3 linked regions of the Cricetulus griseus genome follow. The protein of the gene in region 1 interacts with the protein of each later gene in a pairwise test. Links are inferred from orthologs where the notes say so. Each region holds a gene or a part of one and is shown in the gene's direction. Other genes may lie near its edges.

Region 1 (9,947 bases):
CGCCACCAAAGCCCATCGTAAACATTGTGGACGGAAGTTTCTGTCCCACCCAGTACTGCAGTTGTTTAGTACCAAATAAACACACAGAGACTTACATTAATTATAAACTGTTTGGCTGATGGCTCAGGCTTCTTATTGGTTATCTCTCTCTTAATTACTAACCCATTTCTATTAATCTATCTCCATGTAGTTTTGGCTTACCAGAGAATGCCTGGGCAACTTACCTTCCTGATGGCTACATGGCATCTCCCGTGCCACCCTCTGCTTTCTTCTCTCCAGAATTCTCCTAGTCTGGTAGCCTTGACTATACTTGCTGCCTGTCCATTCGCCAAAACAGCTTTATTCACTAACCAATAAGAGAAACATATATTCACAGCATACAGAAGGACATTCCCCATCACATTATTATATATGCTTATCGTCAATGTATTATTATATATTTATTTATAAACATATTATACATGTCTATTGTCTTCAGTTTTGAGCATGTGACTTTTTCCCCTAATATACTCAAAGGTCATTTTATAATGTGAGTGATCTCATAGCAGTCTGTTATGCTAAAGTACAGATGCTGTGCACCTGTGGTTTCCTATTGTTACTACTTTACCTGATTCTTTAAAAGGTGTGGGTGTGGGTGATGTGGGTATGTAAAAGGGTCTCTCATTCCATTGTGGGTTCCTGGTGTTAAACTCAGATCATCACACTTGTGCAGCAAGTTCTTTTGCCTGCTGAGCCATCTCCACTGGTTATTTTTAAAAGTTATTGTTTATGTGATGGGTATGGGTGTTTAGCCTGCATGTGTGTCTATGCACCACATGCATGTCTGGTCCCTGCTGAGGTCAGAAGAGGGTATCGCTTCCCCTGGAACTGGAATTACAGACAATGTGATCTGCCATGTGGATTTGGGAATTGATCCTGGGTCCTCTGGAAGAGCAGCCAGTACTCTTAAGTGCTGAAGCATGTCTTTATAAAAAACATTCCATTATTTGTGTCTGTGTGTGTGTGTGTGTGTGCACACACATAGGTGCATGTGTGTATTCAGGTGCTCACAGATGTGCATGTGAGTACGTGTAGAATCAGTGCCTTGTGTTTTGAGAGAGTCTTCCTTGGAGTTCACTGATTGCCCAGGAAGCCTCCTATCTCTGCTTCACCAGCACTGGCATTATAGGAACACTCCATTTTGTCTGCCTTTCTCATGTAGGTTCTGGGAATTAAACTCAAGCTGTCATGTTTGTGTGACTGACGCTTTATCAAATAGGCTGTCTTCTCAGCCCCTAATTCACTTTTCTTTCTTATACATGCTTGCTAAATCCCAGCTCCATACCCATGCCAAGGCCATCCCTGTCCTCCTCCACCCTGCATTGCATCATACTCTGTTTGTAGACTCTTCACAAGTTAAGTGCCCACTAGCCTAGCCTGTAGATTTCTACCTTTATTGAAGTTATGATGAGAAAATAAATGAAAACATGTAATAGTTCATCTGGGTTACTTACAAATGCTTTAAACTTACAGTGTTTTGTCCACAATTATCAAAGGACCAGTGTCCTTAATGAATGAACACACATGGAAAGAATAAAACTGTTGGAGAAGAACTCTAAAGAATGGCAGGAGGAGCCGGGCATTGATGGCGCACGCCTTTAATCCCAGCACTTGGGAGGCAGAGGCTGGTGGATCTCTGTGAGTTCGAGGCCAGCCTGGTCTACAAGATCTAGTTCCAGGACAGACTCCAAAGCTACACAGAGAAACCCTGCCTCGAAAAACAAACAAACCAACCCCTGCTGCCCCCCAAAAAAGAATTTAAGACTTGAGTCTTGCACTGGTATGTGCTGTAAAGTATGTATGTATCTGTTACCTCATATTCTGTAACACTTAAGAATCCAGAAAACAAGTTGTGACATGAGAAACGACCAGGCTACTTACTGTTTGGGTTTGGCTACAGGGATCACCCTGAGAAAGCTGGTGCGGAATGCTACTTTGGACGTTGTGGATGGCATGGCTCAGCTCCTGGAAGTGCTTATCTCTCCATCTCAGAGGTATCAGTGCCTCAGTGTGGGATGGCAGTTAATTGGCTTCCTTGACTCAGGGAGGAAAAATTGACCCTAACAGTCAAGTTATATATTATCCCTCATGGCAGACAATTTTAGGAGACTGTGGTTATTGATGTGTCCTTATTAATTCCTTTTTCCAGCACTGAGAACTGTGACCTTATTTCCTGCAATAGTGTCTCGGTAGCATGCCAAAAGGTGTCTGAGATTCCAAAAGGTGGGTAGAAGTAAGCTGGCTGAAGCAAAAAGGCCTCTCATATCCAGCTTCCAGCTTTGCCTTACATAACTAATTTCTATAAAGATTTTAAGTGAAATAATACATAGTTTATTATCATCAATATATTGACTTTGGTACTTTTTGCCATTCTTCATACTGGTTTTTGGTTTGGTTTGGTTTGGTTCTGGCAGTGCTGGGGATTGAGCCCAAGGCATGCCATCCAAGCGTCCTACTGCTGAGTGCTGCTCTTTAAGTTCAGACGCTTCTTGCTGTGGCTCTGTTTCTCGTTGAACAGATAGAGTTTGCTTTCCTGTTGCTGTCCCAGGAGTAGCATCAGAGAGCACGCTAAAAGGGTTATAAAGCAGAGCCAGGCAGATGACTAAGAGTAATGTGATAACAAACACCATGAGACAGTTTTATTTTTTCTGGTGGTGAAATTAAAAGGCCTTCTAATCCTGTGTCCAGGCAGAGAGTGTAGTAGAAAAGTTTTACTTTAAAGCAGTGTTGGTTGTGCTTTGCAGTCTTCAGAGAGAGATAGATTTCTTTTCTAATTCTAGTGTTTCTGGTTTTTCACTCACAGATAACAAGGCTGCAGCCCTTTTGATGCTGACAAAGTGTGTGAATTTTGTGAAAGATGCACATGAAGAAATGGAGCAGGTGAAGGCACTTTCCTATCTTTCCTGGTCATTGGAAAGCAACTTCATGACCAGTCGATGAGAACTGATCATGAAGACAGGGAGTCCCTGCAACTTGATTGAATGATCCCAGTCTTACTCCTGTCCTGTCTTCCATCTCCCACTGTCTTCTGTCTTGTATCTTAGTACCACTTCTCCGTTCCTCTCCGGACAAGAAGAAGGAGAATGTGGTTTGTAAATTGGTTGAGTTTTGTAGTAAGTAGCAAAGCAGGTGACTAATGATGGTGGTGGAGTGTTTGCATTTACATATATGATGCTATATCTTAGGCTATAGAAGAATGTGATCCTTACTGTGGACTCTTGAATGGTTCTGAGGACAACTCTGACAGCCATAATGATGAGGATGATGTATTAGGGCTTCCAAGTAATCGGGACTCATACTGGTCAGAGGAAGATCAAGAGCTCATAAACCCGTGCCTTGCATTGGTGAGAGCATCCAGAGCTTGCCTCAGGAAAATCCGGACCTTAGTGGCTGAGAATGGGAAGAAGGATCAGGTATCCCAGCTGGATGACATTGTGGATATTTCTGATGAGATCAGCCCCAGGTAAGCATGTCACACTTACAAACAGGAACATTGTGATTCGAGCTGCTGCCGCTGCAGGTTTCCTTCAGCTTTTTATATTTTGAAAATTTTCAAGCCTAAAAGAAATTGAAAAAGCACTTCAGTAAATAGCTCTACATCCTTTATTTGGATTCTCCTAATCACCTATTTCCTCTGTATATTTATTTCTTGATAAATAGATGTGATATGTTTTTTTCATTTAGGACATAAATAACTTTTTACCCTTAAATATTAGTAATCTCCTAAAAACAGATATTCTTGGAGTCACATTCAAGAAATTTAACATTTGATGTAATAATAATATCTAATACTTAGATTTCTTTGTCTCAAAAATGTCTTACATAAATTCTGGGTATCATTAAGGTCTCTTACTGCATTTGGTTGGCATCTGTTTAGTTACTTGCAATTTACAATAGTCTCCGTCATTTCTAGTCCGGACTTGACATTGGCATTTCAGAATTACATATTGTAAATACACAGCAATTTGGATTCATAAGATTATTATTATTTTTTAAGATTTTATTTATTTATTATGTATACAACATTCTGCTTCCATGTATATCTGCACACCAGAAGAGGGCACCAGATCTCACAACGGATGGTTGTGAGACACCATGTGGTTGCTGGGAATTGAACTCAGGACCTTTAGAAGAACCTCTGAGCCATCTCTCCAGCCCCCCCCCCCCAAGATTATTTTCTCATAGAAAATAACTTGATGTTAGTTTTTCTTGTGGTAATAAATTTGGTCACATGGTTAAAGTAGTGGCCTCTTTAGAAGGGTACCTTTATCTAACCTGCTTAGCTTCCATTCATGAACCCTGGCAGTGTCACTTACTATACTGATGGTTTCAAATTCTCTTGTCTTTGACTCAGCTAATCATTCCTTATCCTGTGAACCATGGTCATTTTTACCCCACCTTCTTAAATAGAATGTGTTTGTTTCTGTGAACATAGGCTGAATTGCTTCTGCATAGCATACCTGCTTACTCAAATTAAGGAACTGGGTTGGGTGTATACTGGAAACAGTCACAGATCTGTGCCCCCTTTTTGTTAATGGTTATATTTTTCTTCTGCTCTTAGTGTGGATGTTTTGGTTCTGAGCATATATCCACCTGTGTGTCACCTCACTGTGCGGATCAATGTAAGTACTAGCTTTGAATTGGTAAAATTATATTAGTCTCTAGGATTTCCTATAAGCTATAGAGCTCCTCCCCCCACCCCCTCCAGACAGGGTTTCTCTGTGTAGCTTTGGAGCCTATCCTGGCACACGCTCTGGAGACCAGGCTGGCCTCGAACTCACAGAGATCCGCCTGCCTCTGCCTCCAAAGTGCTGGGATTAAAGGCATCTCCACCACCTCCCTGCCTTCCTTCCCTTTTTTAACATGGGTATTGGGAGTTGAGACTCAGGTCTTCATGACTGCACAACACTGAGCCACTTCTCCCACCCCTTTAAAGCTCTTTTTAAATGATTCTCTTATCATTACATGGATCTTCAAGCTCTATTTCTTTTGGTGCCAGGGTTCAGGGTGAGTGACATCTCTCTTTTTTTTTCCTAGTCTGCGAAATTGGTGTCTGTTTTAATAAAGGCGCTTGAAATTACAAAGTAAGTCTGAAGACTTCTCCCTACACGTGAGAATAAAATCGTCTGCCCAACTGTTCTCAAGAACTGACCCCATTTCAGAGAGTTGGGTAGGGGAGCCATGGCTGTGGGTAGGGTGTGGAGCAGCCAGTCTGTGAAGAGGAATGTCTTATTACTGTAGTTTCCTCTCTATGCCTCCTGGTATAGCTTTTCCCTTCACATTAATAATTTTTTTTTCTTCTTTTATTTCCAGAGCAAGTCATGTGACCCCCCAGCCAGAAGATAGCTGGATTCCTTTACTCATTAATGCCATTGATCGTTGCATGAACAGAGTTAAGGAACTCACTCAGCATGCAGCCAACTCATGAGCTTCCAGGCCATTCTTACTCCTTTCTCTTCCTCTCACTCTCACAGCCAAGCTCCAGTGTCTGCTTTTATTTATTTATTAATTTTTTTCCAGTGTCCGCTTTAGAAGTAGAGCTATGATAGGGTGCTTGCTGGATAGAAAGGAAGCTCTTGTCTATATTTCACAAGAGATTGTTATCAAAATTGTAGCCTAAGACATATTGGCAGCTATCTGTAAATCATATGAATATGATATGCTTCTGTGCTAGACACAAAAGAAATTTGCATAAGTTTGTGCTCTGAGCTGTTTCTTGGAGATTCTTAAGGAAGTTGTCCTATTCTCTATTTTACAATAAAGTATATTGTTTTATTAAGATTTTGATGATCTCAATAAAATGCTAATCTATGTGTCTTTTAATGTATCTTTCAAAGTGTCATTTAAAATCTTTTATTGTCACCCAGGCATGTTGGCATACACCTTTAATCTTGACACTTGGGAGGCAGAGACAGGTAGATCTCTGAATTAGATGCCAGCCGTGTATGTGTTGTATGTTCTCGGACAGCCAGAAATCTACAGAGAGACTTAGTCTAAAAAAGAATAAGAAAAGAAAAGAAACAGGCTGGAGAGATTGCTCAGGGGTTAGTACTACAAAAGCTAAATATGTTAGTGTCTTAGGGCTTCTGTTGCTGTAAAGAGACACCATTGATACAGGGTTTCTCTGTGTAATAGCTCTGCCTGTCCTGGAACTTGCTCTGTAGACCAGGCTGCCCTTGAACTCACACAGAGATCCATCTGTCTCTGGAGTGCTGGGATTGAAGGCATGCACCACCATCACCTGGCCCAAGGCAACTCTTATAAAGGAAAGCACTTAATTTGTGTGGGAGAGATAGCTGAGAGTTCTACATCTGGATCCACAGGCCAGAGGAAGTGAATGTTACACTAGATGTTACACTAAACCTGGCTTGAGCATTTGAGAACTCAAAGTCTATTCCCTTCTGAAGCACTTCCTCCAACAAGGCCACACCTCCTAATAGTGCCACTTCCTATGAGCCTTTGGGGCCATTTTCATTCAAACCACCACAGTTAGTTACTTGGGTGTGAGTGGAAAAGAGAAGAAAAAGGCTAAGACTAAGATTAGTATTGGCAAATCAATTCAATCTGCTCTTTGGGAGAGGAAAATAAAAAAGGAAACAGTAAGGAGGACGAAAAAGTAACCCAGGGCAATAACAGAATAGGAGCAAGTTGGCATGCTAAATTGACATTAGGTATTAAACATGGGAGGAATAGATGCAGGGAGGAGAGAGATCTGGTTGGGGATATCAGCTGTGAAAACTGCCCGACCTGATAACCAGACTCAGTCTCATCTCTCAATGTTCTTTCCTCAGTTACAAGAAGTCTGCCTCACCCCTGGAGTTCCTCCATTATACTCTTGTTCTCTCCCAGTGTTACTTTGAATAACTAAATTACAGATACTGGCTCAGTCTGTTCTTTATGGGTGGAGTCTCAGATCCTGGTACATCTCTGTGCCTTCCTTGAGGGTTCTGGTTGCAAAGGCTGTCCCTTCCCTCAGCTGTCTCCATAGCCCATGTTGTTTGGGGTGTGTTGTTCAAATCTAGATGCTGCATCATGAACCAGGCTCTGCCATACGCATTTCCTAAGGGTCCAATGGGTCCCTAGCTTTATGTGATAATAGGAGGGGGCAGAGGATGATGAGTGTTGTAGCTTTCTCAAATTTAGGGTCCCTTACCCCTTCCCTAGAGCTGTGTCATGGATTGTGGTGCTGTTCTCTGCTGGTAGGTTCAGGCAGCATGTGTTGAGCCTCTTCCAAGCTTTTGGGCCATGGCAGCGAAGGGAGATGTGGAAATAAATCTGGCTTCACACCCCTGTAATCATAGTATATGTCTGGCTTGCTGTAGTTAAATTTTTCCTTCAGTCTGAGTTCAACCTCTGATTTGGATTTCCAGCAGTGGGACCCTGTGGGTTCAGAGACCCTGAGGGTGTTTTCCTGGTGGGGTTCAGCTCTTCACTCATCAATAGGCTTCACAGAAAAAAAAAATCCTAGGCTTGTTTCTGCATTCTTGTAGTCCTTTCTCTGGTCTCTCTCTGTGGCTCTTTACTACCTTGGGTTTCTTCTACCAATACTCCTGGTCACCCAGATGCAGTTTCTGATCCATTCCGAAGTTTTGTTCTACCAGAAATGCAATCTGTTAAGAGTAGAATGTTGTTTTTATTTAAGTTTATGACCCTAAAGGTTTGAGTCTGCTCAGAAGTGCATGTAAAATGAAAATACTGATTTTTATTTTAAGATTTTTATTTATTATGTATACAACAACATGGAACAATTCTGCTTCCATGTATATTTGCACACCAGAAGAGGGCACCAGATCTCATAATGGATGGTTGTCAGCCACCATGTGGTTGCTGGGAATTGAACTCAGGACCCCTGGAAGAGCAGTCATTGCTCTTAACCTTTGAGCCATCTCTCCAGCCCCAAAAATACTGATTTTTATATACATAGAGATGACTACAAAGTCCCTCTTGGTGCTGTTATTTGCACCGTTAAGTCCTTCTGAATGTTATTCAGGTTACTCTATGCCTCAAAAGATTTTGGTATTGAGCTCTGTCTTAGTTACTGTTCTACTGCTGTGAAGAGACAAGGCCAAGAGAACTTACAGAAGAGGGCTTGCTTACAGCTTCAAAGGGGGTATTAGTTAAGGTTTCTATTACTGTAAGGAAACACCATGACCAAAAGAAGGTTAGGAAGAAAAGGGCTTATTTGGCTTACACTTCCACACTGTAGTCCATCAGTGAAGGAAGTCAGCACAGAAACACACAGGACAGGATCCTGGAGGCAAGAGCTGATGCAGAGGCCATGGAGGGATGCTGCTTTCTGGTGTGTTCATCATGGCTTGCTCAACCTGCTTTCTTACAGAATCCAGTACAGTGAGCTCAAGGATGGCACCACCCACAATGGGCTGAGCACCCCCCTCAATGAATCACTAATTAGAATGACCTATAGCCAAATCTTATGAGGGTATTTTCTTAGTTGTGGTTCCCTTCATTCAGATAACTCTAGCTTTTGTAAAGTTGACATGAAACTAGCTAGCACAATTGACCTCTTATCAACCTGACATACAAACATATCAAGATCAAGTCATAGCCTTTCCATTATTTGTTTCATTCCCAAGATCTCAGATTAATAAATACCACTGTGGTGGTTTGAATGAAAATGGCCCTCATAGGCTTATAGGGAGTCTTCTATTAGGAGGTATGGCCTTGTTGGAGGAAGTGTGTTATTAGGGGTGGGCTTTGATGTTTCAGATGCTCAAACCAGGCCCAGTGCCACTGTCTCTTCCTGCTGCCTGTGGATCCAGATGTAGACCTCTCAGCTACTTCTCCAGCACCATGTCTGCCTGCACGCCATCCATGCTTTTCCTTCATGATGATAATGACTAACCCTCCTCTGAACCTGTGAGCCAGCCCCAATTAAATACTTTTCTTGTAAGAGTTGTCATGATCATGGTGTCTCTTTACAGCAATAGAACACTGACTAAGAAAACAACAAATATAAAACATCTTACAAACTTAAATGTCCTACAGTCATTACCAATTCCAACATTTTAAAAGTTCAGTCTCTTTAGAACTCCAGAGTCTCTTTTAAAACCTAAAACCTCTTTAAAAATTCAGTCTCTAAACTATGGGCTTTTGTAAAATCAAAAATAAGTTAAATACTTTCTTACTTTAAGAGGAAAGAACCAGGGCAAAGTCACAATCTGAACAAAGCAAAACACCACACTCCAATGGTGTAAGTAACTCAGTGTCCAATATCTGGAATTTACTCATGATCTGGGTTCTCTACAGGGACTCCAACCCTGCCATGAAGTGCCAAGCTTCAGCTGCTCTTCACATCTTCAAAATGAGCACCCTCTGGGTGACTCATACACTGCCAAATTCGGCTACCAGCACCCCTGGAACACAGCTTCTGTGTGCTGACCCTGAGTGAACACTTCCTTGAAGACATCACCTCTGTGATTGCTGGTCTCTTCATCACAGCTAACTCTTCAGCCCCAGCTGACCAATATCCACTGCCCCAGCAAAACAAAGGTTTCACTTTAGTGGTTCTGGTCTCTTGTTAATTACAGCCAATTCTTTAGCCCCAGCTGACCAGACACCATAGATTCTTCACCAAATGACCTGGCAGTCTTTACGTCCCTTTGAAACTTCACAAGCTAGGCCTCCATCCTCTTCATTGCTTTCAATACTCTTATCTTCCAAGTTACGTCAGAAAAGTCCCTGAACTCTCAACACTCTATGATTTCTCTAACCCTAAGTTCCAAAGTCCTTCCACAATCCTCTCCAAAACAACATGGTCTGGTCTGTCACAGAACACCCCCTACCACTCCTCCGCTCCCCACCCCCAACCCCTGGCCTGGTACCAAACTTTTGTCTTTGTCTTCAAGAATCTCAATTCTGTTGTGGAATATTATTTTAACTGTGTAAAG
Region 2 (10,047 bases), on another chromosome or scaffold:
CAAGAGCTAGTTCTAGGACAGGCTCCAAAACTATGCAGGGAAACCCTGTCTCGAAAAACAAAAACAAAAAAAAAAACAAATGAAAAGAAAAGAAAAAATAAATAAATAAGACACAACACTCTTAAGACCTAGTTGAGGTGACACTTAGGCAAAGGCGAAGTGTACCTGCAGGAGACACATCCCTGGAAAGGGAATGATGAAACCTTTGGCAAACATCACCATCTCACTGTCTAGCTTCCAGGTTGCAGTGCAGGAAGCTGAGGATGGCTACTAACCTCCTCTGCATTTTCCAAGTCATCTAGTCCTTCGTCCTCTTCCACATCATCAAAGTCATCGCCGTCGAAACTAAGCCAGAAGACACTGGTGGTTAGAATCACCTGCCAGAATCAGGGACACAGTTTGGGGTCTCTGCTGTGATGTAGGAGGGACCAGCAAATCTTGATGAGGGAATCAAACTCTGGCTTCACTTTACACCTTCAATCTTGTCCCATCTGCCCCCAAATTTTACTAGGACTTGTCATCGATGTTTCTCTCTGTGAACTACTTCAGTCAGCACATGTACTTTTCTGGTCTGGGGATTTATGTTTTAAGGTTTATTTATGTTTGTGTGTGTGAATGTACGCCTATGGAAGCCAGAAAGGAGGCATCAAGTCCCGTGGCTGGAACTGTTCAACATGGTGATGGGCACTGAACTCTCACTCCCAGGAAAAGCAGCACGTGCTGGTAATTACTAAGCCACCCCTCCAGTCACCAACATAGTTTTAGCCCTATCATGAGGGGAAAGCCGTAAATCTGTGAGTGTGATGGCACACTCCTGTACTCCTAGCATTTGGACACTGGGAGTGGAAGACTCAGGAATTTAAGCCCAGCCTGGGCTACATAATGAGATTCTGTCTCAAGAACAAGAACAAACAAAATTTACTTCATGGCCGGAGGTATATACAACAAGCATGAAATCCCTGGGCATTAATTCCCAGGAGCAAAGCGTCACCACCATTACCCCACCCACCTCTGAGAAAACCACATTATTCTCTTTCCTCCAGCTACAGCCTAATTCCATGTTTGTTCCCTTATAATGGGGGGAGGGAGGGTAAAAAAAAAATAAGGCCCATGTGACATTGTCATTCTCATGGTCTCTGGTTACCAGGCTTCTAAATTATTTTTAGTTATGGTTAATGTGTGCATGATATGTGTTTGCACGAAGGCCCACACATACCACCGGGACAACCTTTCCCATTCTCTCCTTCTACCTCCGGGTTCCAGGGATCAAGCCTGGGTTGTCAGGCTTGTACAGTAAGCACCTTCAAATGTGGATCAATCTCATCAGCCTCCTATGGTACAAAATCTGTGAAGGAGCTGCCCAAACTCACTGTCTGCAAGTCTTCTCTTTCCTCGGCCATAATCTCACCTCAGTAAGACTTCCACCACGCCCGGGCAGTGGTGGCACACGCCTTTAGTCCCAGCACTCGGGAGGCAGAGGCAGGCAGATCTCTGTGAGTTCAAGACCAGCCTGGTCTACAAGAGCTAGTTCCAGGACAGCCTCCAAAGCCACAGAGAAACCCTGTCTCGAAAAACCAAAAAAAAAAAAAAAAAAAAAAAGACTGATCATCTTTTTTTGGGGGGTGGGGATGTTGATTGAGAGAGGGTTTCTCTGTGTAGTCTTAGCTGTCCTGGAACTCGCTCTGTAGACCAGACTGAACTCACAGAGATCCTCCTGCCTCTGCCTCCAAAGTACACCACTTCACTAATGATCGTTTTGTTGCTAATCCTTCCCACTCTCATTCACCTTCCTCTAACAGCTAGCACACCTGGCTCTTCCCTCCTGCTTCACACTTGGGGTGTGGGACTCCTCCTCAGCCTTTTCTGGGTACCCCCCCACTCCCCCAATCACTCACCACCCTGGTCAACACTCCCATCTTTGCTTTGCTTTCATTGTATTTTTGCTTGTTTCTGAGACAGAGTCTCACTCTGTACACTATGTAACTCAGGCTGCCCTGAAACTTGATAAGTAGCACAGACTGACATCAAGATCATGGCAATCCTCCTGCCTTAGCTTCCCCAAAGCAAGGATTACAGGTGTGAGCCCACCACACCCAGCTTCCGAGTTTTGGCTACTATATCTATTTTAGGACTCCCACAGTTTATCTTCTCTTATGACCTAACACATACAGCCCATCTGGAAATCCTTTTGGCTCTATTTTAAAAATATATCAGGAGCCAGGCATAATCCCAGTGCTATAAGAAAAAGGCAGGCAGATCTCTGTGAGTTTGAGGACAACCTGGTCTACACAGTGACTTCCAGTACAGCTAGGGCTATGTACAGAACCTTTGTCTCAAAATAAATAAATAAATAAAATATATCTAGGAGCTGCCCATGGTAGCATATACCTGTAAATCGCAGTGTTCCAGATATATGTGTATACCATCTCTTTCTCTCATATACATGTAGGATTTTGTGTGTGTGTGTGTGTGTGGGTACCAGGGGCCACACACAATGGTTCACACTTTAATCCTACCATTTGGAAGACAGAAGTAGACGACCTCTAAATTCTTTTTATCCCCTAGAGACAGGGTTTCTCTATGTAACAGTCCTGGCTGTCCTGCAACTCGCTTTGTATACCAAACTGGCCTCGAACTCACTGAGATCCTCCTGCCTCTGCCTCCCAAGTGCTGGGATTAAAGGCGTGCGCCACCACCACCGGGCTGTATCTCTAAACTCGAACCACCTGGTATACAGTGAGATTTAGTCTCCAAATAAATAAAATATATGTCCAAAATTCAGCTGGGTCTGTGGCACATTCAAAGCTAGCATTAGCTACATAGTGAATTCCCGACCAGTTTGGGTTTCAGAGTGGGACCCTGCCCCAAGCAACACTAAACCAGCGCCTGCTCCCAGCCTTCCAGGCCATCCTCTGGATTGCTTCCTCCTTCCTAGTTCCACGACTAAACGAACTACACTACCCGCGTTCCCTTCCAGAAAGGGGGTGCCCGGAGGGCACGGGCTACACGGGCTTAACTGTGCATGCTGCTCCGCGTTGCTCCGCGAGGTAGGAAGTTTAGAAGACTTCGCCCAACAGACCTAATATCTGGGCTAGCCTGTGCTCCAAGCGCCCCGCTCGCACCACGACCTCCTCCCCTCCGAGCCCGCGCTCACTTGTCCTCGTTGTCTGACATGATGCCTTCCTTGCCCGCACTGGCCGGTCCGGAAGGCAGAAGAGCGACGCGCGCCTCAGCGTTCCCCGGCAGCACTACGCGTGGTCTGCGCCTGCGCCGTGACCCAAAGGCAATCACTTCCGGGAGGCAGCCAAAGGCGAGTCGCTAATGCGTGTGCGTGGGGTGTATACGCTAGTTACCATAGTAACCAGATGCGCTTGGTGCGAGCACTAACACTCTGGCGTCCCCCGGGATCTCTTGGAGGAGGGCGCCGTCACGGTTAGGGTAAGCGCTCCGCCCGGGACCATCTCGATGGGGACTGTGGTGACTGCGCTGTCCGGAGCCGAGGGTTCGGGCACCCGCTTCTCAGACGCCCAGGGCGCTGGGGATGAGAGGTTGGGACTGCGACACGAGGAGGGCTGGTTATTGCTTCTCTCCCTCCTAGGGCCCTCCCATGGCTTCACAGGAGAGGGTGGACGCAGTGAGCAATGGAACCGGGTTCCAGCGCTGCGGTAAGCAACTCGCTTACACGCCGGGAACCTGCGAGCTGCTCAGAGGTCAGTGCTTTAGAGGAACAACGATAGGAGACTGGGATTCTGAAAGGCTCAAAGGACGGCAACTTTAGGAGTGGTTAGCTCATCTTTACATTGCACTTTCAATGAAGTTTATCTCCTCCCTACCACACACAGTAAGACCCTCTCACACAGTATCAGATCCAATTCCTTTCACTGGGCTTAGCACAATATATTGTTCTTATAGGCGTTTAGTTTCCCATCTATCACCTTTTTTTTAAAGATTTATTATTTTTATGTGCATTGATGTTCTGCCTGCAAGTATGTCTTTGTGAGGGTGCCAGCTTCCTTGGAACTGGAGTTAGAGACTGCTGGGAAATGAACCCAGGTCCTCTGTAAAACAGCCAACCAATGCCTTTTCCCTGAAACAGGCTTTCTCTGTGTAGCTTTGTCCTGGAACTCACTCTGTAGACCAGGCTGGCCTCGAACTCACAGAGATCCATCCGCCTGCCTTTGCCTAGAGTGATGGGATTAAAGGCGGTTCACCACCACTTCGTGGCCAGCCAGTGCTCTTTAAAAAATAAATAAGTTTAATTAATTTATACATAGTTATTTTTCTATTTTCAACTCCAAATATTGTAAGTAGCAACAGACTTTAGTTAGGCGTGGTAGCATAAACCTTTAATCTCCATACTGAAGAGAGGGAATGAATCCCGGTGTAGTGGAGCACACCTTTAATCCCACCAGCCAGTGCTCTTAACCACTGAGTCACCTCTTCAGCACCCCCCAGATATCACCTTCTAAATGATGAATGACACCAGACAAAGTGCCTGTTCCTGCTCACAATTGTGGCTTCAGCCTCTGATATGTAAATGAACATTAATACATTAATTTATTCAACAACTAAAAAACCTAATATGTGATTTGGATATTATCCTAAGTACTGGAAGTAGAATGTTAAGGGGATTGCAACAAACAAAAAACATTCTTGCTCTCATATAGCTAACAGTATAGGTGTTTTTTTTTTTGGGGGGGGTAGGGATTGTTCCTTTTCTATTTATTTATTCACCTATTTATATAAAAAATTATAGAGCTGGGGTATAGCTCAGGAAGACCTCTGCTATAAATAGTGTCAAGTGAGAAAATGAAACAAGCAGAAGAGCATGAGTGCTTAGTTGAGAGTTGGGGAGGCAGAGCTACAGTGTGGGGTTCAGGCAGGGTGAGACATGCTGAGACACAGAGTGCTTTATTTTACAGTGATGATGAAGGAGTCCAGACTGACTAACTTTCAGCAACGACACATCATGGACACCGTGAAAAGTAAGGTCACTCAAGAGACTTCCTGGGCAGAGGAACCAAGGATACATGGAGCCTATCCTGGCACTCGCTCTGGAGGCCACACTGGCCTCGTTTTTTTGTTTTTTTGAGACAGGGTTTCTCTGTGGCTTTGGAGGTTGTCCTGGAAGTAGCTCTGTAGACCAGGCTGGTCTTGAACTCACAGAGATCTGCCTGCCTCTGCCTCCCAAGTGCTGGGACTAAAGGTGTGCGCCACCAACGCCTGGCATCCAAGGATATATTTTTAATGCTCCTCTGTATGAAAGGGAAGGGGAATTTATTTAAAAGGACAGAGATGAATTTATTTCAAAGTCAGACTTGATAATGTACATCTCTAGTCCCGGCATTCAGGAGGCAGAAACAGGCGGATCTCTGAGTTTGAGGCCAGCCTGGTCTACAGAGTGAGTTCCAGGACAGCAGGGCTACACAGAGAAACCCTGTCTCAAAAAAACAAAAAACAAAAAACGAAGAAAAAAAAAAAACAAAAAACCTGGGCTGTGTTTTTGGCTTAGTTGGTAGAGCCCTTGTCTTAGATGCACCAAATCCTGGATTTCATACCCAGCACCAACCACATCAACTACGTGTAGTGACACATACCTACAACCCATGCACATGGAAGGTAGAGGCAGGAAGACCAAAAGTTTAGAGTCATCTTTAGTTCTATAGGGGGTTGGATAGAGACCCTGCCTCTAAAAAAAGCATAAACCAAAACACAGGGCTGGTGAGATGGCTAAGCAGGGAAAGGTGCTTGCTGCCAAGTGTAACAATCTGAGTTTAGTCCCTAGAACACAGATGGTCAGAGAGAACTGATTCCTGTAAGTTGTCCCCTCACCCTCTCTCTCTCTTTCTCTCTTTCTCTCTCTCTCTCTCTCTCTCTCTCTCTCTCTCTCTCTCCTCTCTCTCTCTCTCTCTCTCGTGCTCGCATGCTAAAAAAACAAAATAAAAACACCACGCCAAAGACTCAATGTATAAGAATGTTTATTGCAGCATTGTCAGAAGTAGTAAAAATCCACCCCCCCAAAAAAAAAAAACTGAGAGAACCTGAATGACTGGCTGAATAAATAGTGTGGTCACTCTAACAACTAATACATTGCTATAAAAAAATAAGTTACATATAAATGCATCTTTATGGAAAGTTGGTCATGATAAATTGTAAGTGAAAAGGGTCTGTTGTTGACCATATGGTATGATCCAGTGTTTAAGAACCATATGTGTAACATACCAAACAAAACATCCTTGGATGTGTGTTAGAAGCATCAAGAACGAGGAGCAACCACCTAATTGTTCCTACAGCCTGCCCAGGAGCAGGCTGAGAGGTCCAGACTGTCCACGCTTTGACTTCTAACTGGAAGCCACCATTTTTCTTTGAAAAGAAAGACAAACAGGTGCTGTCACTTGGCCCTTCTATTCCCAGGAGGAGCCCCTCTGCCCCTGCAGTGCGACCCAACATCCAGCCACAGGGGTTCTCCTTCCAAGAAGCCGGCTACAGCCACCTACCTGCCTCCCATCCTGGCTACCCACTCCCACCTCCGGCCTGCGAGCATGTGTCAAGCCAATGGGGCATACAGCCGCGAACAATTCAAGCCTCAGGCCACCAGTATGTGACCAGCTTAGGCTAGGTGCTCCCTTCTGTCTTCTGGGGTCATAGCAGCCTGGGACAGACAGCACCATTCCAGTAGTGGGTAACAAACGCAGGCAGGTGACCCTCTTTATCTTCCTATGGCTGTTTTCAAATTAATGCAGCTTTCCTAATCCCAGAAAGACACATGGCTGTCAACTGCTTATCTTCCCAGCCCCTCAAGTCCATTTCCTCTGCACTGGAGCCCACATCTGGGAGCCCCTCCTGTGGCCTCTAACAGTGCTTCTGACCCAGAACCCCCCAACATCCCTACAGTCCCCCCCCCACAGGACACCTCAGAGGCCTGTGTTTCTGGGTTCTCTCTTAGCTCTGCACTGAGATATTCAACTGCTAACCTGACATGTTCTGCTCAGGAACAGCCAGGGGAGGGGCTGGGTCTGCAGCAGCCCACTCTTCTCAACCCAGACACCCTGCAGTGTGCACAGACAAGGGAAACAGCTGCTCTGCACCTTAACAAGACCATTTCTGGGCCCTACAGGAGATCTGGAGAAGGAGAAACGAAGACTTCAAAACATCTTTGCCAATGGGAAGGACATAGAGGAACGGAAAAGGGCTCCTCATGGGCTGCAAGAGGACCCAGCTCCCGAGCTGGACCGGTTTGAAGAATGTGAGCGTGCGCATGCGCACGCATGCGTGTGTGCATGTGTGCGTGTGTGCGTGTGTGTGTGTGCGCGCGAGCGTCTGTGTGTGTGCGTGTCTGTGTGTGCATGTGGAGTGTAGAATTGATGAGGCTGACTTGATACAGACCCTCCCCCACTCTCCCTTAGAGACCATGCACTGCCTGGGCCCCTGTGTATGCCCACTGCCCTATGCACTGATAACCCTTCCCCTCTGTGCAGTGGTGAAGGAAATCCAGGACAGGAAAGAATTCTTGGCTGCCATGGAGGCTCTTGGACAGGGCAAGCAATACAGAGGAATGATACTGGCTGAAATCTCCCAGGTAAGAGAGCCCACACAAGTGGGGAAGAGGAGCTCCAGCCAGAACTATGGCTAGCCCTCTCAGGTGGCAAGCTCCCACCACGGTGGCCTGCCCTGACAGCAGTTCTTCCTGATGGCCCTTTGCAGAAACTACAGGAAATGGAGGAAATTGACCGCAGTAGGAGTGAGAAGCTTAGGAAGGCTCTTGCCACCACTTAATCCAAGGGTGGGCCAGCCCAATGTGACCACCAGAGCAGCATGACTGACAAGCAATGTCATCCCCAGGTCTGCCCACCCACAGGGGCCACCATGATGTGGCACTGTCCTGGAGCACAAGACAAGACACTGCCCAGGGATGCAGAGGCCTCAGTGGTCCCCCTGAGCTACTGTCACAGCCAGTGTTGAAGCCTTCTCTAGGGGAAAGAGCCCCAGACCTACCACGTTGACACCGAGGCTCACCACCTTGGACATTTGCCTAAGGGCACCCTTTCTCTGGCTCTCCTCCTGCCACAGCTGGCTGCCAGGTGCTCTGTGAACACAATTCTGCCCTTCCTATATCTTAGGATCTACTTTTTGCCTTCTTATAGCCTTGGGCAAATGTTTGACCACAATGATTAATTGGCCAATAAAACACATTTAACTTGGTCATGACATGTTCCGCCTTGTTTCCACAGAGATAAAGTCTATAACTGCTGTTTGCATATTTCCAGAGGAACAGGGAAACAAGGTTCCTGATCAGCCTGCAGTCAGTGCTGATGCTCAAGACTGCAGTGTGAGAACTCAGGTTCACCAAGACACTCCATCCTGGAGTTACTGCAAAGGAGGCCACTCAGGGTTAGAGGTCAACTTCATGGCTTCCACCAAACCATGACTATGGGAAGAAGCATAACAGAGGGATCCACACTGAAAGGGCCCTGGCAGGTGCCACAGCCTTGGTTCCAGTTCCTTTCAAGTGCCTCTGAGGCCCCAACCTGAAGGAAAGTAGCCTGCTCCCCACCTGGTATGTCACCCGCAACTGACTGACTTCAGGCTGCTGACACTGATCAGCCTGACCTGCACTAGTATTCTATCATTTTCCAGTCTCTATTTCCTGCACCTGTCATTACTCCCATAATCCCAATAAAACATACAATCTGTCTTCTTGCCCAAGAATATACACAGCTACTATGCAACAGCCAGCAGATAAGGGTCAGGTCAGTAGGGACACGCCTACCACCTCACAGGCCTCAAACACTAGAAAATCCAGGACAAGTGTAGCCCAGTGTGGCAAACTCAGATCTGATGTCAGCATTTATAAATTATGCCAGTACAAAAACTGGATTCTGGGGTTCTTTTGAAAAGTGGGCAAGATCTAGCAAGCCTGGGCCCACGTTCACAGAGTACAGGTGACTTCTGTGAGGAAGGCTGTTCCCTTGAGACATGGAAATGTTCCTTGACACTGAGACAGCCTCCTGATGAGGCCCACCCTTGAGTTACAGCAGCTGGGTCACAGAGCCCCTCTGACCTCTGAGGCGGTGGGCCTGGCTCCATGTCAAAAGTGCATTTGGAAAGACTGCCAAGGGCTATATGGGAGTGAGCAAGCACCTCTCCCCAAACAGGAAGGGAATCCCGCCCATAGTAGGCGGCTATGGTCAAGTTCCCAACTGCATGGACAGCCCAGACCCTCCTGGGGTGACCAGATGCCTGAACATGAGGTGGAGCACAGACAGGCATAAGGGCATAGATGTGGCTGTACCCAAGGCTACAGGGCACTGGCAACTGAGGTACAGTGTATTCCTTCCCTGGATGCACAGAGGGAGGGGTGCTGAAGACCCCAAGAGCAAGAACAGTGCTTGGACCATAAGCTGCCTGGCATATTTCCTAGGGAAAAGAGGTACCCCATCACCCTTCTCCCAGAGCCGCCCAGGGGTAAGTGGTCATCAGTCCTTGGAGGGAATAGACAACAGAAAAGACAGGCTGCACCAACCACAAAAAGGAATGGGTCCATCCCCTGTGCATGGGGTGGGCAGAAAGCCTGCATCAGAGGTCAGACTACAACACTTTGGAGAACAAAGGTTAGCACCTACCCAAGCACGTGTTCCTAGGCTAGTCTAAGTCACTGCCTCAGCACAGCTACCAGGTCCTCGTGTGGTGGCTGAGACGTCCCATGGAGCAAGGGAGATGAGGGAGGCAGAGGAAGCAGTGTATTCCCAACTGACACAACACAGCACTCACAGAGGGGCCAGAATTTGAGACTTCATAGAGCTCCTGGGTGAGGGGACATGACTTTCAAGGGCACCTGTGTTAGACAAGGCAGGGACTAGGGGTCAGGGTTGAGAAGGAGGAAGTTGGGCTGCACAAGCCCTATGCCGGGGCCTGCCTTGGGCAGGACTGATAAGGAAGACTCCATCTGGCCTGGTTCAGAGGACCAAGGAGACCCACTGCCTCTGCCCAGACCCTGCATCCCTGCTTGCCCCTGGGCCTGTCACAGCATCTGGAGTCAGAAGCCAA
Region 3 (9,947 bases), on another chromosome or scaffold:
GATGAGCTAGGGGTGAATCTGAAGAGACAAGGATGACTACAAGGGGGGCAGATTAAGTTTGAGAAGGTCATCACCACCAAAGTCGGGGTCTGGGGTGGCGTTAACAGTACAGTGTTGTCAGAAGCCTCCTCTGTGGTTGGAAGAGTCTGCTTCTGTGAGATTCCTACTTAGAAAACTTCCTCTCTTTTAGAAATTTTAGGTATACTAGAGGTGTAATTTGTTATTCCAAGAAAAGAGCTGGTCTGTTTTACAAGGTAGACAAATTCTAATGGATCCCAAAATCTGATCTTTTTGTTACCTGTATCTATCCTTATGTTATAAACACAATAATCTACATAAGCTAAACGGTTGCTAAATGAGCTTATTCATAATAAAGCATAAGACAGTTCTTTTTGAGATGTGGAAACCATAAGGGAAAATATTGTTTGTCCCTCGAGTGTTTCAGTTTTGGGAATTACTCTTTGAAACATTGGTTGCAGTTCAATCTTCTTAATTTATGTAATATCTACATCTCTTTTTAAGAATATATATAAGGTGTCTGGGAAAGGGATTCATGGTGATGTTGCTGTCACACACAAGACAGCATAGTTTATGCTACATCTTACACCTGCTTTATTCTTTTCATGGACAGTCACCTAAAGGTTAGCTTGTTGACTCCCATTTTCACTGAAAGTTATACGAAGTAAATTCAATGTGTATCCATTCTGCCTTGGCACCACCAGGCCAAATGATTTTGTTCTGCCTGCCCCAATAGAGGGTGACTGAAACTGCCCTCCCCCAAATGCTACCAGCAGAGACTGTCCCCCAATGCTTCCTATCCCAGAGACAGGTCCCACCAGGCATTTTCTATCTACATAGCATCACTGATACATCCAGCACTTGATATATTATATTTTAGGATTTTTAAAGGCATAACTGTTTTCTTTTTAATATATTTATATTACATATATTTTAACATTTCCATTTAGTATATCTATTTATAAACAGTCTCAACATGGTGCCTGTTATAAAGGAAAATACATCCACCAAACACAAAAAGATGGGACTGCACCTTAAAGCCATTGCTTCAGTCTCACAAACGCCATAGAGGGTTCAGGTCACGACATTTGTCAAAACTTCCTATAAGTACTCCTCGTCAACCTCTGTAAACACCATGCTCACCTGGCTGGGAGGTGCAGGCTATAGTCACTCTTCTCTCAGTAGTGACCCCGGTTCCCACCCTTGTCTGTGAGGCTCCTTTACCCTCTCTAGTTCTTCCTGAGTCTTAAGTAACACTCTCCTGGTTGATGGTAATCACTTCAGCTGGCCAGGAGGCTCTCAACTCTCACCTGTCCCCCTCATCGTTCCAGCCCAGCAGGCTAGGAAGGATTAATAGATGGGAGTGGAGTTTGGCAGGAGTACTCTTACATTGTAGCTTTGTTGTTGTTGCTGCTGTTGATTTGGGGTTTTTGAGGTATGGTCTTACTATGTATCACAGGCTGATCCTGAATTCCTTGCAGTCCTACGGCCTCAGTTTCCCAAGCATTGGAATTGCAGACATGAACCACCACACTCAGCTTTCTGGTTGTTTCTCTTTATTTCACACATAATTTTTACCTTGCAGCAAAAACATTCCAATGTCATGAAGGAAATCAAAGCAAAGGACCTTGAAATCAGACTGTACAAGAAGAAAAAGCGTGAAATTCACCGGAGGTAAGAGAATTTGGTCATGACTTCTCTACTTGATTGGGGAGAAGGTGTTTAGTTTTCAGTTTTCAAAACCGTGTTTCCACAGACTGAAAGAATTTGCCAAACTGTATGACACAATCAGAAATGAAAGGAACAAGTTTATTAACCTCCTGCACAAAGCTCACCAGAAAGTGAATGAAATCAGGGAAAGGCACAAAATGTCACTAAATGAACTGGAAATTTTAAGAAACAGTGCTATCTCTCAAGAAAGGTAAGAGCCATGACAGCCAGAGTCCTCCCAAAGCCTTGTCTTCTGTGTCTCTGTCACTCCAGAAGGTCCTGGTGCTCACAGAAGATGGGAAAGCCTGGTCACACACGTTGCTTCTCGAGTAACAACACAGGCACCTAGGCACACTTCTTGTTTTCTATGCAAGAGTCACATGTTTCAACAAATGCAAAACTCTAACATAATACTGTTTCCTATGTCGATCTGCTGGTATTCATTTGCTCAATTAAAAAAGAAAGTATAAATCTGATAACCTGCATTTGATGTTAGAAGACAAATGACTTTTTTAGGTAGTGTCCCTGGTTGTAGATTTAAAGCATATATTGTACAGGTGGGTTGGCTAGAGCAGAATTGCTAAGAGCAACACTTTCTAGACTAAACTCACAGCTCTGGTTACTATCTGTGGGGCCACTCTTCAGACTTGTCTGATGTCTTTCCTAACACATAATCCTCGTTATAATCGTGTAGGACCTTTTGTTACTAAATGAGTCCACCTATGTCATAATACCAGAAAGAACATTTATTGCATGTCAAGATCTACTGGACTCATTCACCTCATTAGTTCCTGACTGCCTGAGAATACATAAATGGATTTTTCTGTTGGCCATTACTGCCCAGTTGACTTTGAGAACGATAATACAAAATACACTGATTTGAAAAGCCTTGCTGGAAATAGAAATTTCCTGGTCAGATACTTACCTGAAAGGAAATTAAAATACCACATCCAGGCTGTGATTTCATCCAGCCTGACCCATGCTCCTAGCCTGAGACCCGAAAGGCATTGTCAATAGACGCACCACTATCCTCAGAACAGTCTCCTGAGATGAGAGAGCAGTAAAGGACCCTTTCACAAAAGACCACGACACAGTGGTTGACACAACGACAGTATCCTCATCTGGCTGGAGGGAGGATTCCACCACAGAGGAGTCGACATGAAGTTCTGAAAGCATGGTGTGGTGATTGTCATTTCAGAAGACACACTTTTAGAAATTGTTTTTCAGACATCTTTAGTGTTTTTTGAAGAAAATAATGCTCTTCCCCACTGTGCCTTATTTTAAAAGAAAGCTGCAAAACTCCATGCTGAAGCATTCCAACAATGTGACCATCAAGGAGAGCATGCAGAATGACGTGTGCAAAATCACCTCTAAACTCCAGGAAATGAAGGAGAAGAAGGAGGCCCAGCTGAACAGCATGGACAGGCTGGCCAGCATGATCACCTTGATCGAGGAGGAGATGGTGCTGCTGCGCAAGAAGTATGAGAAGGCCGTCCAGCGGCGCAACGAAAGGTATGGACCACAGACGGCTCAGGCTGTGAAAGGTACAGGCTCAGTGCCCTCCTCAGGTGAAAGGTACAGACAACAGATGTTGTGCATGAAAACAAGACAGGCCGTCTGTGGGAGGGAAACTAAAAGGAGGGTTTGGGACATTGAAAGATCAGAGTCTCTGGGATACTAGGACAGCAGTTCTCAGCCTTCCCAACACCACCACCCTTTAGCACGGTTCCTCATGCTGAGCTGGCTCCCAACCAAAACGTCATGTGTGGCTACTTCATAACTGTAATTTTGCTACTGTTATGAGTCACAATGCAAGAATCTGATATTTGATGCTCAGGATATCTGATATGCGACTTCCAAAGGGGTCATGACTCATGGGTCGAGAACCACTGCTCTTGGATGGCAATGAATTACTCCGAATCACCTGATGTGAGCCAGTCTCTAGAACATCTATCCACGTCGTAAGGGCCTTGTCAACCCAGTCTCCTAGTTCGTTTTCCTCCGTAAGGAAGTAAGGCTTAGAAGAGTGGCCTGTTTCTTCCAGACATCAAGCATGTCTTTAACAGTGTTACTCTCTTAACAGCCCCACCCACAGCAGCTGCTTGAGTTATGAGACATTGGTAGCTGAGATGGCAGAGTCTAGAAAGAATTCAGATTTCATGAAATTGGTGTGGTATTTCTTGTAAAGCACTGGAGTGCTAGCCCCTGAGGGTACAGGATAGTAACACCTTGCTGTTGGCATTTGTCATCAAGGGGATGGATGCGATAATGAGCAGCTTCAACAGAAAAACCAATGAAGCGGATGGAGACCTGAGGGCCACCAGACACAACTGCATGCACACTCTTGGAGGGAAGGAAAGACTTAGAAAAATTAAGGGTAGCAGTTGTGGTAACAGATATACAGATTGAGCGGGAGGATCTTTAGGGTCATTGACAAACAGAACTTTTTCAAAGGGCTAATGAGTGTTCTTTCTGGGCTAAAACAAAAACAGAAAACAAAACAAAAAAATCCTATGTAGCTCCTGGCACAAGCCTAAGCTTATGGATAAATAGAGTGTTCCCAGTCCCTGGTTAGACCAGTGTTGATGAGGGGAAAAATCTCACTTTGTTTCTCTCCAGTGGCCTCCTGTCGAGGAGAGGTATTCCCATTGCACCCGTCAGCCAGGCTACAAAGGGCAGGTGACGGGACATCCACTTTTCAAATGTCCTTACGAGCCTGGCAACTCACTGCAGAGCCACATTCCCAGGCCCATCTCCTGGGGCTTCTGCCTAGGCCTTGCTTGGCAAGTCTGGTCCCCCAAAAAAGATGTGCAGAAAACAACCCTTGGATTTTCCTCTTTCACATGTTGGGAGTGACTTCCACTACCCTAGGGAAACTTTGGGGGCTTATCAAGCCACTGTGGCTGTCCTGCTGCCCAGCTGGCCTTGGAATGGAGATTCCAACACTCTCTTAACCCCAGGAAAATCTGGTGTGGGCCACTTAACTGGCAGTCTATGGCGCCCTGTCTTCTGAAATTCTGCTGTGTTGATGTATAAGTGAGCCCAAAGCCAGAGGGAACCACAGTAACGAGGAAACAGAGGCCTCAGCACCCACTTAGACCCCTGCTCTGAATTTGACCACAGTGGCGTTCAGCTCATAGAACGAGAGGAGGAAGTGTGCATTTTTTTTGAAAAAATAAATATCCAAGAGAAGTTGAAACTTAATGGAGATGTTGAGATCCGTGTCCTGGAAGAAAAACTCCGGTTCCTGAGACTGAAGATTGCCGAGAAGCAAAGGCAAATTTGTGTGACACAGAAATTACTGCCCACCAAGAGGGCCCTTGATGCCAACCTGGCCGTGCTCCAGATCCAGGTGAGTAAGTGGTCAGGGGCTCGTCCCCAGGCCATTGGTTCGTCTCCTCCCCCTTGTTAGTTTGCAGACGATATGGGTTCTTGCATGGAAGCCAAGGTTCACCACTTCTGGTAATTACGAGCTGTATGATGTTTAAAGACGACTTTGAACACTGCTCCAGGATCGAGTTTTGGAAATCTGAGCTACACAGATTTGTTTGTTTTTATCTTATGCAGCATTGTCTGTGTTTCTTGGAATCTGGGCCATCCCGGGATTTAGCCCTAGTTCATCATTCCTATAGCTCTGCCCAGGGTAATCTAGGCTCTCACTACCTGCAGCCTAATTCTGCCATTAATGTTGCTGGAGACCACCAAGATAGAACATTTAGTCTCTCTGGCTTGTTGAAGCAGGGTCTTGTAGCCTTTGTTGGTTTGATACCCCTATATAGCCCAGGCATTTCAGACTGATTGCAGACTCCCTGTCTCAGCCTGCTGAGTACAGAGATGACAGGAAGTGCCACCAGAGAGAGCCTGATGCTCAGAGGAAGAGTGACATGCTTAGACCTGCTGCTTCTCAGTCTGCAGTCACACACACACAGATTCTTCACAAACCTCTGTGGTCCCCCCAGTAGCAAAGACTAAAATGTGACGAGAAGCCTGCTTTCTTCAAATGTAAGAATACTTTTATGAACCAAAAAAATTGGACCAACATCTTTGTGACATACACTTTTCCCCACTGACTCAAGATTGCAGGATAAATTCTACCCTGTATTCTAAAGTCACCCGCTTTTGGATTCTTTTTTCTGGTTATTAAATTATGGTGTATTCAGTTAATTAAGATTTACAAAAAAGAATAAAATGTTAAAGAAAAAGGAATTCTATCCCAAGAATAATAGTCAGAAATCTGAGAGCAAGTCTCCTCTCTCAGTATACGTTTAGTTTCAGTTTTTCACTTAACTTCATGCAAAGGATTTGTAGAACTGGATACAGGGTCTGCTTCCACACTTCAATGCATCGGCATAGGTAAACTTTACGTAGACAACAGATAGCATCTTCCAGATCGTGCAGCTACATCAGGGTCTTTTATAACCATGCTTGCCTGACTTTTAGCCATAACTGCTCCCATTTAGATCAATTGACTGGATTGCTCCCCATCAAGGCTCCGGAACAATCTCCCCATTATTCCCTGGCTCTGATTCCAGCTTCCAAAAACTGGCCAGCCTGCACACAGTACCTGCTCCCTTTCTGTGATCTGTCAGGGTATGCCATGGATAGCTATCCTCCTCACTCTACACACCAGCATGCATGCAAAGCCCCTGAAAGATTTCACGGCACACTCTCGAGAGCACTGTGTGAGGCTGCATTCCAGATATGCAAAGAGCTTCATGTTAGACCTCAGAAACCCTAGGCCTCAGAGTTGTCTGGGGCCACCCCATCCCTGCGCAGGGCTCTCCTGGTGCTCTGTGTTTCACAGCTAGGCTTTCCAACATCTCTACCCCACTTGCCTTTGGGCCTCACACCCTGCAGTGCACCTCAGGGATACTGTACTTAGCACACCCCATTTTCCAGAATCATTTGCTCTCTCCAGCTTTCTCAGTATCAGCTTCCTGTCTGTCTTTGCCTATGAGGAATGCCACCATGTCCAACAAAAGGGGTTTTCATCTGCTATCGAACAGACCAGATTGGCCATCACATAAGCATATATATTTCAGGTTAGCTGCAAACCTTATATCCAATGGACAAAACCAACCATTCTTCTTACATTTATTGCATTTGGCTGGTATGTCTACTAAACTACTTTAAATCTAGCAATGGCCCCACTTTCCTCCTTTTCATTTTTAATTATTTATTGAAGAAACTTGGCCAACCATATCAAATTATAGTCATTAGTGCTGCTCTGTTTATGCAACAGAGGAGAAATTAGAACTATATAAAAGAGTTGTTAATATATTATATGAGAAATGGTACTGTGTTAAATTTTGTCTTAAATTCTTATGTTTTAAATTGGGTGTGGTGGTGAGAGGGTGAAGCAGGAGAATCCTATGACTTTGTGGTCAGCTGGGGTTACACAATAAGACCCTATATCAGAAAAAACAAACAAACAAACAAACAAACAAACAAATAAAAGAAAACAGAAAATGGGCCGCTTCTGAGTTGTGCAGATGAAGCCGAATGATGTGTGGGATGGATGCTAAAGTGGTCCTACAGGTGTGCGGAGATGAAAGAGCTGTGCTGCAGAACTGCTGGCGCTGAGAGACAAGTGTGTGGAAGTTTATTCTCTTCTTTGTGCATTTTTGACTTTTACATAATTCAGAAGCTTTAATAAAAAGGTACTCATTCTTAGAAATAATCAACTACCCACTGCGTAGTAAGAGTTCCAGTTTAACAAGAGGTGACTACTATGTTAATGTTATATATTATAGTTACTATTATATTAATATAGTATTATTATATATAATACTATATATATAGTATATTATATAATATATATTATATGTAATATATATTATATATTATATATATTATATATTATATATTAAACATATATTAATGTTTACTATATGCTATGTCTGATAACAAGCCTGTATCATCATGGCTGCACATAAATTCAGACCTGTGGGCCATATATTAGCTTTGGAGAAGGTGTATAGAAAGCCACCCATCCATTTTCAGGCTGCACTTGATATGTAATTTTACCAGCACCGACTGTGGGCCTGGAAATGCCCAGCTCTGGGCAAGCCACACCTGCACTATGCCCTCCAGGACTGGCTTCTTGTGGCACCCTGGTGTTTCTGAGTTAGCTGTTTCCTTTTGCCTGTTTTCCCTGTTCTGCATCATTTTCAGATTGCTTTTTTTTTCTTTTCAGTTATTTTTAAACAGCTTTTAATTGTCCAAGAGACTAATCCCAAGGGTTATCATGAATCATGTTCTCCTGGACCTTGTAGTAACAGCCCCATCTTAGGAATCCTGGAAATCTCATGTGCTATTGTCTGAGTATTTTGACTGCATGTATGGAAGAGTCCACAGCATGCACACCTAGTGGCCACTGAGATCAGAAGAGGCATCCAATCCCCAGAACTGGAGTTACAGGTCGTTGTAGCGGCCACATGGGTACTGGGACCCAAATCCAGGCTTCCTGCAGGAGCACCCATGCTCTCACTGATGAGGCCCTTGTCCAGCCCTCTAGGGGCAAAGTATCATTTTTATTTCTTAGTTTCCTAGCTAAGGAAACATTGTTACTAATAATTTCTGTCACTATTTTTAAGCGTCAGCACTTAAATTCTTATTATAGAGAAGAGCGCCATCAATTAAAATTCTCAAGTTCTATCTGTGTTGCTCTTGGCTGTGTTCTAAAGCCCCAAAGCAGTGGTTCTCAACCCTCTAGTGCTGTGACCTCTTAATACAGTTCCCCATGTTGTGGTGACCCAACCATAAAGTTCTTTTCACTGCTATCTCATAACTGTAATTTTGCTACAGAGCAGTCTCTCAGTTCCTAAGAGCATAGGAAATGTGTGTTTCCCTAATGGCTGTGACCCACGGTTGAGTACCACTGTACTAAAGTCTATTGTTTCACCCCCTGGGATCAAGCCTCATCTTGCCATCTGCCAACTGAGAAACGAAAAGTTCCTGAAAAGCAATCCCACAATGGCAGGGAAGCTGTAGACAAGGTCTTTGGATTATCATTGTGCTCACTTCTCCCCTTTTAAAACTGTGTGACTATTGCTCTTATCAGTGCCACCCATGTCCATGTCTCAGTGATTCTACAGCTATAATCTAGTCAAAGGCACTTTAACAAAAAGCATACAAGTGGCTGAGACTGTTGCTCACAGAGTATTAGCTGGGCTGACTTGGTAATTAACTTCCTTCTTTAGGATGTCATTGAAGCCACTGCCACCAAGGGAATGCAGTTTGTTGCATGGCAGCTGTCCAGTCTCTGAAACACCTGCAGTGAAACAGCCAAGACTGCTTTGAGCACTTGACCACACAGCATCTCACGAACACCACACAGTTGTAAGCAATGAAAAGGCTTCTAGGAATTCAGCCATCTCTCTTATGAGACAGACAGACAGACAGACAGACAGACAGACAGACAGACACTGCCTTCCCATGCAGGGTCTATTCCACACACAATCTGGATAGTTCCACAAAGGAGCTAAAGATCCTGCCTGCATGATTTGACATTTACTATGCTATGGAGTTAAATTTAAAGCTGACATGTGTTTCTTGTTCAACAGTTTGCACAGTGTGCAGATAGAATAAAAGACCTGGAGGAACAGTTTGTAAATCCCGACAATAAGAGCAGAATCCGCTTCATTCCAGGGAAAGATCTGACTGAAGAAGAAATGATCAAGAAACTGGATATGGTAAACGTGCTTGTTTGCTTCCAGATGCTACAATTCTGTCTCCCCTTATGCTGGCGGACCCACACTTCATTATTCTAGCCCTAGTTGTAAAGCCGTCCTAAATCCTAACTTTGATTCAGATATTTACCCAAGCAAGTAAAGATTCAGTAGTTTCAACATTCAAAGGTACCCTCCTTCTCTCCTAGCCCAATAACTAATTTTGACTTCTTGAGTGAATATGCTAATTTGTCACCCTAATGGGAACACCTGGAAAGAAAGGCGTTGTGGGTACCCTAGAGAGGCAGAGGGCCATGTTCTGCCCACAGCAGAAGAGCTCCCCAAGGTGTCCTGACATGGCCCAAATCGGGGGCTGTTCAGAGGGTTTTTCGCAGCTAAGAAAGCAGTGTGTCTATGGTGGGGTGAAAGACAGATGGCAAATGAAGACTGGCCTTACCAAGGTAGCTTTTTAACTCTACTGAAATTGTTTCCAACTGTAGCTGGAACTTCAGCTGGCCAAGAAGGAGGAGAAGTTACTGGAGAAGGATT

Evidence for each region.
Region 2: the proteins of Ccndbp1 (region 1) and C2H22orf23 interact in binary tests that used the Homo sapiens proteins (3 or more experiments, as listed by UniProt). The two-hybrid records come from large-scale screens. The link is inferred for Cricetulus griseus from reciprocal best matches to the Homo sapiens genes CCNDBP1 and C22orf23.
Region 3: the proteins of Ccndbp1 (region 1) and Ccdc146 interact in binary tests that used the Homo sapiens proteins (3 or more experiments, as listed by UniProt). The two-hybrid records come from large-scale screens. The link is inferred for Cricetulus griseus from reciprocal best matches to the Homo sapiens genes CCNDBP1 and CCDC146.

What each region holds. Positions count from the first base shown.
Region 1 is NC_048599.1:57,418,844-57,428,790, reverse strand, and holds the end of Ccndbp1 (cyclin-D1-binding protein 1), read left to right. Parts: intron 1-1,939; coding exon 1,940-2,033; intron 2,034-2,188; coding exon 2,189-2,262; intron 2,263-2,842; coding exon 2,843-2,919; intron 2,920-3,224; coding exon 3,225-3,502; intron 3,503-4,600; coding exon 4,601-4,661; intron 4,662-5,076; coding exon 5,077-5,123; intron 5,124-5,352; coding exon 5,353-5,467; 3' UTR 5,468-5,866; downstream 5,867-9,947. UniProt on the Homo sapiens protein: May negatively regulate cell cycle progression. May act at least in part via inhibition of the cyclin-D1/CDK4 complex, thereby preventing phosphorylation of RB1 and blocking E2F-dependent transcription.
Region 2 is NC_048595.1:376,255,148-376,265,194, reverse strand, and holds C2H22orf23 (UPF0193 protein EVG1), read left to right. Parts: upstream 1-3,295; 5' UTR 3,296-3,438; intron 3,439-3,598; 5' UTR 3,599-3,607; coding exon 3,608-3,710; intron 3,711-4,922; coding exon 4,923-4,985; intron 4,986-6,414; coding exon 6,415-6,597; intron 6,598-7,117; coding exon 7,118-7,246; intron 7,247-7,478; coding exon 7,479-7,579; intron 7,580-7,704; coding exon 7,705-7,776; 3' UTR 7,777-8,208; downstream 8,209-10,047. Other genes in the region: Polr2f (DNA-directed RNA polymerases I, II, and III subunit RPABC2), read right to left, coding at 276-345, 3,155-3,174.
Region 3 is NW_023276806.1:173,198,972-173,208,918, forward strand, and holds part of Ccdc146 (coiled-coil domain-containing protein 146), read left to right. Parts: intron 1-1,603; coding exon 1,604-1,692; intron 1,693-1,774; coding exon 1,775-1,939; intron 1,940-3,015; coding exon 3,016-3,240; intron 3,241-4,851; coding exon 4,852-5,080; intron 5,081-9,293; coding exon 9,294-9,422; intron 9,423-9,898; coding exon 9,899-9,947. UniProt on the Homo sapiens protein: Essential for sperm flagellum biogenesis and male fertility.